Linked DNA regions of Danio rerio. The protein of the gene in region 1 interacts with the protein of each later gene in a biochemical or structural test. Links are inferred from orthologs where the notes say so. Each region holds a gene or a part of one and is shown in the gene's direction. Other genes may lie near its edges. The genes, in order: nppa and npr3.

Evidence for each region.
Region 2: the proteins of nppa (region 1) and npr3 form a complex in vitro, tested with the Homo sapiens proteins (4 studies listed by BioGRID, with this or other methods). The link is inferred for Danio rerio from reciprocal best matches to the Homo sapiens genes NPPA and NPR3.

What each region holds. Positions count from the first base shown.
Region 1 is NC_133183.1:58,370,507-58,375,026, forward strand, and holds the start of nppa (natriuretic peptides A precursor), read left to right. Parts: upstream 1-1,546; 5' UTR 1,547-1,584; coding exon 1,585-1,698; intron 1,699-4,520.
Region 2 is NC_133180.1:42,184,610-42,188,439, reverse strand, and holds part of npr3 (atrial natriuretic peptide receptor 3 precursor), read left to right. Parts: intron 1-1,537; coding exon 1,538-1,632; coding exon of another isoform or gene 1,633-1,686; exon of another isoform or gene 1,687-2,662; intron 2,663-2,698; coding exon 2,699-2,810; intron 2,811-3,684; coding exon of another isoform or gene 3,685-3,687; coding exon 3,688-3,772; intron 3,773-3,782; exon of another isoform or gene 3,783-3,830. UniProt on the Homo sapiens protein: Receptor for the natriuretic peptide hormones, binding with similar affinities atrial natriuretic peptide NPPA/ANP, brain natriuretic peptide NPPB/BNP, and C-type natriuretic peptide NPPC/CNP.

The sequences.
Region 1 (4,520 bases):
AGTGAATATCAAACTATATGGCTAGTTTTTAATTAAAATTGGTCTTAAACTGGAATTAAAATGAATATACAATTAGTAATTTATTAAATAATAGGTTATGAAATAAATAAATAAACATTTTAGAACATTTAGAAACATTAAAAGGATCAAATAATATAAGATATAGCATAAAAAAATAAAAATAGAAATATTACAACATTATTGTACCATTAGAACAGTGTTTAAGATCCACGTGCAGTTTATTATGAATTTTTCAGACAGGCAATGGTCAACAGGTACAAAAAATATCATGAGGGTAATTCAGAAGTGTAGTCGAGGTCACAGGCAAAGAGGTCAGTGCAGGCGGCAAACAGCATAAACAATTAAACAAGGCAATGATCAAAAAGCAAGGCTTGACAGGAATAACGCTTGCAAATGTTTTTAGAGAAACAAGACTCAGCAAAGAATATTTGTGAATGAGATGTTTTATAGTCTGAGTAGGGAGAGCACTGAAAAGAACTGAAACTGATGTTTACCAATTGAGCATCGTGCCAATGCCACAGCCTACTGAGTATTGTTGCTGACCATGTCCATCCCTTTATTACCACAGTGTACCCATCTTCTGATGGCTGCTTTCAGCAAAAAAACGCGCCATGTCACAAATCATCTCAGACTGGGGTTTCTTGAAGATGACAATGAGTTCACTGTACTCAAATGACCTCCACAGTCACCAGACCTCAATCCAATAGAGCATCCTTGGGATGTGGTGGAACAGGAGATTCAAATGCATGGATGTGCAGCTGACAAATCAGCAGCAACTACGTGATGCTATCATGTCAATATGGACCTTGTTAAATCCATGCCACGAAGGATTAAGGCGATTCTGAAGCAAAAGGGGGTTCAACCCGGTAATAGTAAGGTGTACCTAATAAAGTGGCCGGTCAGTGTATCTCTATATATTATTTATTAAACCTATATTATTTCAAACTACTAAAATGTCAATAAAATGCACTTTGTTAAACTGTAAAGTTTAATTTTCAACATTGAAAGAGATCAACATCCCATAATACAATTCACAACCGTTTATAAACAGAAAATACAGAAAACCTATAATAAACAGGTTTTTTTTTATACAGTGTCGTAACAGTGTAGTAAAATATTATGTGCGGTCATCATGCCAACAACACAAGAAATCAGTCAGATAAAACCTCTCCAATAAACATATTTTACATATAGTCCACAAAGTCATCCCTTCAGTCTGCATCATTGGCCTATATATAGGATTGCGGTCTGCTTTAACCCCTTATGGTATACTCAGTTGTAGTTTGTATCTGATGCCGGAAGCATGTGAGCCACTCGTGTGCAGCGGATTCATTCCCCATGATGCCTGAGGTCACTGTTTGTGTCCGAGTTACCAGGACTTCTCCAGGCCTGCGAAAAACAGCCACTTAAAAGGAAATCTGCCCCAGCAAGCGTTATCACAGACGAGGTGTCGGAATGCACTTCACACGCTTTACCACGGATGAGCCACTGACAGCCAACTGTCCCTATATAAGAGCCAAGCCAGTTCAGAGGGCAAGAAAACGCATTCAGAGACACTCAGAGATGGCCGGGGGACTAATTCTGACAGGACTGCTGCTCCTGGTTTGGCAGCAGACGGATGTACAAGCGCACACGTTGAGCAGACACAGCTCTGACAGCAACATGGCCAAGCTCAAGGTATTTGGGTTTATGTTTAACCAATTCAATGTGAGGTAAACAGTCAGTGCTCTTAAAAGTTAGTGGTTTTTCGTCACTGAAACAACTTCTTTTACAACGTTTTGTACAGTTGAAGTTTTCTGTTGATGTTGAAGGTTCTTTATGTGACTTTCAATATCGAAAAAATAAGAAGTAAAATTATTAGATACTCTTAAAAGGTCATTGGCAGCATGTTTACATAAAGAATCTTTAACATTCATGGAAACTTTCCAATTCTCCAAAAGTATTGTGATTCACCTATTAACAACTTCCGTTGGACAAATGGTTCTTATTGTGCGAGGGATTTTTATATGCACAGTCATTTTTCAAATCTTTATGACACACAAGGCTTTTAGTTAAAAATGATTGCAAATTACTTATGCACATTTTCTATTAGACAAAAGGTTCTTATAGTATACAAAAAAGTACTTAGATGCACCTGTGGAACAACATTCCATTGGGCAAAAGATTCTTAGTGGAAACACAATCTTTAGATTCACCTATGGAAATTTTCCATTGGACAAATAGTTCTTATTGTGAGAAAAAAATATTGGATGCACCTATGGAAATTTTACATTGGACAAAAAGTTCTTATAGTAGAATTTTTCAGATGCATATATGTAATTGTTCCACTGGACAAAAGGTTTTTATAATTGAAAATAAAATCTTTACATGCATCTACGGAACTTTCCATTAGACAAAAGGTTCTTATAGTGGAAAGAACATCTTTAGATTTACCTATGGACATTTTTTATTTTGGACAAATGGTTCTTATTTTTAGAAACATTTTTTTTTAGATGCACCTATGGAAATTTTCCTCTGAAAAAAAAGTTCTTATAGTAGAAAGAAAAAATACTTAGATGCACCAATGGAACTATCCATTAGACATCATTCCAATGGAACATTCCATTGGATAAAAGGTTCTTATAATGGTAAAAGAAATCTTTACAAGGACCTATGGAACTCAGCATTTAACAAACAGTTCTTATTGTGGAAAAAATATTGGATGCGCTTATGGAAATTTTACATTGGACAAAATAGATTTTTACATATAGCGGGAACATTTTATTTAATTCAAAAGCTTCTTATTGTGTGCTTTTTTTTTTTTTGCACCTATAATAATATTCCATTGGACAAAAGATCCTTATAATGGAACAAAAAATATCTTTACATGCACCTATGAAACTTTCCATTAGACAAAAGCTTCTTATAGTGGGAAAAAAAATCTTTAGACTCTTCTATAGTTTTCTACTAAACAAATGGTTCCTTTTGTTGGAAACATTCTTTTTAGATATGCCTATGGAAACTTTCCATTAGACCAAAGGTCCTCATAGTGGAAAAAAACCTATAGGTTCACCTATGGACTTTTTGTATTGGACAAATGATTCTTATTTTTGGAAACATTCTTTTTAGATGCACCAATGGAAATTTTCCGTTAGCCAAAAGGTTCTTATAGTTAAAGAATATTTAAATGCATAAATGAAAATGTTTCACTTGACAAACGTTCTTATATTGAAAAAAATCTTTACATGCATCTGGAACTTTGCATTAGACAAAAGGCTCTTACAGTGGAAAAAAAAATCTTTAGATTCACTTATGGACGTTTTCCATTGAACACATGGTTCTTATTGCTGGAAACATTCTTTTTAGATACACCCATAGAAATTTTACATTGAAAAAAGGGTTCCTATAGCAAAAAAAAATATTTAGATCCATATATGGAAATGTTTTACTGGACAAAAGGTTCTTAAAGTGAAAAAAAAAACTTGTATATGTACCTATGGAATTTTTTATTAGACAAAAGGTTCTCATAATAGGGAAAAAATCTTTACATGGATCCATGGAACTTTAGATTCACCTATATGGAAATTTTCCATTGGACAAATGGTTCTTATTGTGAGAACATATATTGGATGCACCTATGGAAATTTTCTATTGGAAAAAAGGTTTATATAAAGTGGAAACAAAATTATTTAGTTGCACATATTAAAATTTTTCCTTAAACAAAAGGTTCTTATTCTGGAATTTTTTTTGTTGCACTTATTGAACTTTCTATCAGACAAAAGTTCTTATAGTGGACAAATATCTTTAGATTCACCTTAGGAAATGTTCAATTGGGAAAAAAAAAGGTTTTTATAGAGGAAAAACACTTCGCAAATACCTATGGAATTTTCCATTGGACAAAATGTTCTTTAAAAAATTTTTTGATTTACTTTTTGAAATATTCCATTGCATAAATGGTTCTTATAGTGGAAAAAAAGGTTCTTTAAATTCTCGAAATGTTGTTCATGCTATGGAAAAAGGGTTCTTTTCGCAGTTGTCTACTGAAAAGTTCTTTTGGAAAGCAAAAATGGTTCATCATAGCAAAAAAAAAAAAGAAAAAAAAAGAAGGTTGAGTTGTATTGGAGCATTTATTAATGGTATTTTTAAATGATCTTGGGATTCAATATATAAAAGGTACAATATATAAAGGTCAAGGTCATCTGCGCACCACTTTTGTCCAAAGTTGATTCCAAGAGTTTAGGATTAGATTATTGCTTGACACTATTAGCAAGTTTGGCATGCTGTCCTGGGAGAGAACCATAAACTTGGGAATAATTGAGCCCAGGGATCCCGGCAAATCTTTAAGCATGTAAGGGGGTCCGAGATCAGGTAAGTCTTGAGAGCTCCTCGCGGTAAAGAAGGAAAAGAAAGCGATGGGGTGGAAGAAGGGATTCTTCCAAAACAAAGATAAAGCAGTAGGGTGAAATCAGGCTATAGTAAGCTTAAACCAATCTGATTGAATTATTACAGATTATGGATGA
Region 2 (3,830 bases), on another chromosome or scaffold:
TTATTATTTAATTTAATCATTTATTCCAATGAATTTAGTGATGAATTTTCAGCTTCATTACTCCAGTTTTCAGAGTAACATAATGCTTCAGAAATCACTCTAATATTACTTATAATAATTAATTTATATTTTTTATAATAAATTTATAATTTTATAATAATTTGTAATAGTAATAAAAGCAATAATGAAAGGAGTTTTAATTTCAAACTACATACCATATGAAAGCAGTTATTTAAAATGTAAACATATATTTAACAATTTAACATTTAATAAATGACACCTTGATGCACAGAATAACTTTCATACATGAAATTACATGAAAAAAACTTTGTCAAACCTTTGACCGGTAGTGTACATCCTTCATTCTAATGTTGTTTTATTGAAATGACAAAAAGAGTTTTGAGTATTTCCACCTTGAATGTTCATGGTGAAATTGGCTGCATACATTTCAGCGTCTGCTACTTTGTCCTGTGCCTTTGAATATGTGTGTTCTGCTAACAAAAACATACATTCCTGATGACGAAAACATAACTTCAGTCTTTCAATTTTTTTAAAACAACATTTGACTTGTGGGAGGGGGTCTAGTAACTCGCACACAAGTATTGGCTATATTACAAATAAAGTTACAAAAAATGTATGTAGGGAGCGGCACAGTGGCTCAGCGGTTAGTATTGTTGACCCTGTAACAGGCATTGTTATGGCCTGGTTGACCTTCCGTGCATAGGTTATCATTAAAACAAAAAAACAAAACAAAAAAAAAAACATTTTGCTTAAAATGGTTCCAGGAATTTAAGTTAACCAAACTATTTGGTCTATTTTTTCTTTCTTACAATGCAAGTTAAAGGCCTAATATTCAGAACTAAAGTATATATTTTTTATTGTAATAACATTTTATTTTATTTTATATTTTTTTATTTATTTATTTGTTTATTCAAAATTTCTTTGACATTGCTAATTTTTGAGTAGTAATGTATGCAAAATTTTGTTAACATTTTGTCCTTTAACATTTAAACATTCTCTTAAATTTTGCACACTAAGTTCATTACTAGGAAAACAGTAATGCATATTTTGTGAAAAAAAGCAAGTTGGAATCTTAAGACTGACCAAGTACCATTTGATTCCCATTATTGTAGTCGTGAACAGAGGTCTCGCCAGTGTTCTTGCCACTGTAATTCATTAAACTTCCCTTACAAAATAAGTGCTCAGACATGTCTGCGGCTCAGACCCGTCTCAATGACCACAGCAAGACAACTAAACGTGAAATAACAATGTTCCACTCAGCCAGAATCATCAGGAACAGGGTCATGTTTTCCTGTTAAATGAAATAATATTTTAAAAATCTCAAGAATTCAGCAACACAGATGTACAGATGAAATTACCATTTCTGCAGTCAAAGCCAACAAAAACGGCAGGAGGCGGATGAGATTTCCTGTTGTATTGCCCACCCGGAATTTGTCGACTCTTGCCGGTGTTTTCCTTGGAATGTCTGACTCTTCAAACTAATTAATTTTCTCATTCCTCACATTCCGTTATACAGGCATTGCTGGCCAGGTGTCTTTGGATGCCAATGGCGACCGGAATGGGGATTTCTCTGTTGTGAGGATGACCGATCCAGAGTCAGGAAAACACGAGGTATTTTACAAAAACCTCTCGACAGTTCAGACATTTGAAACTAATTTATTCTAGTTTACACGAATACGTTTTAGATTTAAAATGGCGTTTTAGAACAAAAACGATCTACATCCACACCAGACCTCTGAAAACGCACATCACGTGACCGCGCACAAACACTTGGCGGGTGCTGAGCACACCTCCCCAGATGGGAGCAGTGCACATTGGACAGTTCATCCAGGATGTTCCGCTGGATCTCATCTCACTATAGTAGTTAAACGTGATATTTAATTCATCTTGTCTCTATCTAACGACTTCTTGGTCTTTTGGATCTATTACTTGTTCTAAGGTAATGTGTTTTGGCCGAGCGTAAAGATAAGTTAAAATATTAATGTAACCACATACACTGATTTTGCACATTGATTGCTTGGCTTTATTTCCTATATTGTATAAACTTGTGTACTTTTAAAATGGCCATTATGAATTATTAAAACTGATATTTAGCAAAGGAGAGGTTATGTTTCTTATTTTTCAAAGAAAAAGAAAGAAGGCAGTTACATGATACCTCAACATTTTTGGCGTCTGTTGCTAATATCAAGAAGAAAATATGCAGTAATGTCATATAATTATTTTATTGTTTAGATTGTAAGATGAAACAATGTAGCAGGGTGATAAGATGAGGTTAAAAAAGTGCAAGGTTCCCTTTGAAGATTTAGTTCAAGATTTGTTTTCCATATCAAACTCATATCAAAAGTCTGAACTTAAGGATGCTAGACTGAACTTTGTGCACTTAATATTGAGGGAAAAGCCCCAATCAGGTGGCCATGCTTTCGGTTTTCAGATGTCTCTGTTTTCCCTCATCCACACGGAGCAGCAGCGTTTGAAAATGAAAAAACGGCCTTTATACTTTTTCCAAAATGCTCCATTTTCAGGGCTAGAAAACTCTGGGGTAGTGTGGAAGGAAGGCGTAACTTATGCATTTTAAAACAAAAACGTATTAGTGTAAATGGGGCCTAAGTTGTTTAGTCAGAATTGAGGAGAGTCAATACAGGTAGTCACTATAATGAATGTCTTTTTATACCATCAGACTGTCATGAACTACTTCGGCACTAATGGAAGTTTCCAGATCTTGCCGGGCTTCAAGAGGGAATGGTTCTCCTTGCGAACGATACCACCTCCAAAACCTCTCGACCCATCATGTAAATTACCTCTGCTGCTTTAAGACTGGCACTTGTTTGTTTGCTTTATTTCTGTAACAGTGTGGATTTAAACCCATCTAAGTCATAGATGGGTCTAATAGCCCATTTCCACTGAGTGGTATGGTTTGGTACTGTACACGTACATGTGTACAATACACATTTGTTCCACTGTCAAAGGTACCAAAATACCATTTCCTAAGGGTGTACAAATACAGTACAGTACCAAAAGGGCGGAGCTAGACTGAATAATATTGGTTTATAGAGAATTGTCACCAGCGCATGCAACAAGACAAGTGGAACGTCAACACAAGAAGTGACATTTTTAAATACACAGCCAAAACACAACACCGTCATACAATACAATACATAATACAAGACCTCACAGAGCAGTGAACCATGCCCAACCCCAATCTCAAACAAACTGTCATATGCTAAGAAGAAAAAACAGGATCTGCTTTATGTCCTCTATTTTTGTTTAAGGGACTGTTCACATGTTGCGTCTAAACGAGTGGAAATTGCAAAAGGCCCGGTTCATCTGTCTAACTGTGCAGGCTTGCCACGCGTCTACATTTAAAATAATAAACTTGAAGTCATAAAATATGCCATATGTGAACAGTCAATGATGCTGATCACAACTTTCTGGCATGCACAATGACTACCAAGAAAGTGTATTGTTCCCAAAGGAAATGCAGGCCTGATTAGGGTAACCACCAGTACTGTATTGTTCAGAAAAATACTGCTCAGTGGAAATGAGACATTGTACCTTATACAGTACATATTGTTTAATTATTATGAATAATCATTTATTATGATAACTCCTGGATTTTGTAGATGGAGAGCTTTCCTTATACATGGTTTTACTTTCTCTCCTAAGCAGGTGGACTAGGTGTATCAGCGGTGACTGGGATAATAGTAGGGGGGATTCTGGGAACAGCTCTTCTCCTGGCATTCTACTTCTTTAGGTAAATACAGAATACACTCTTTTTTATGAAATATATATATATATATATTAAGGGTGGA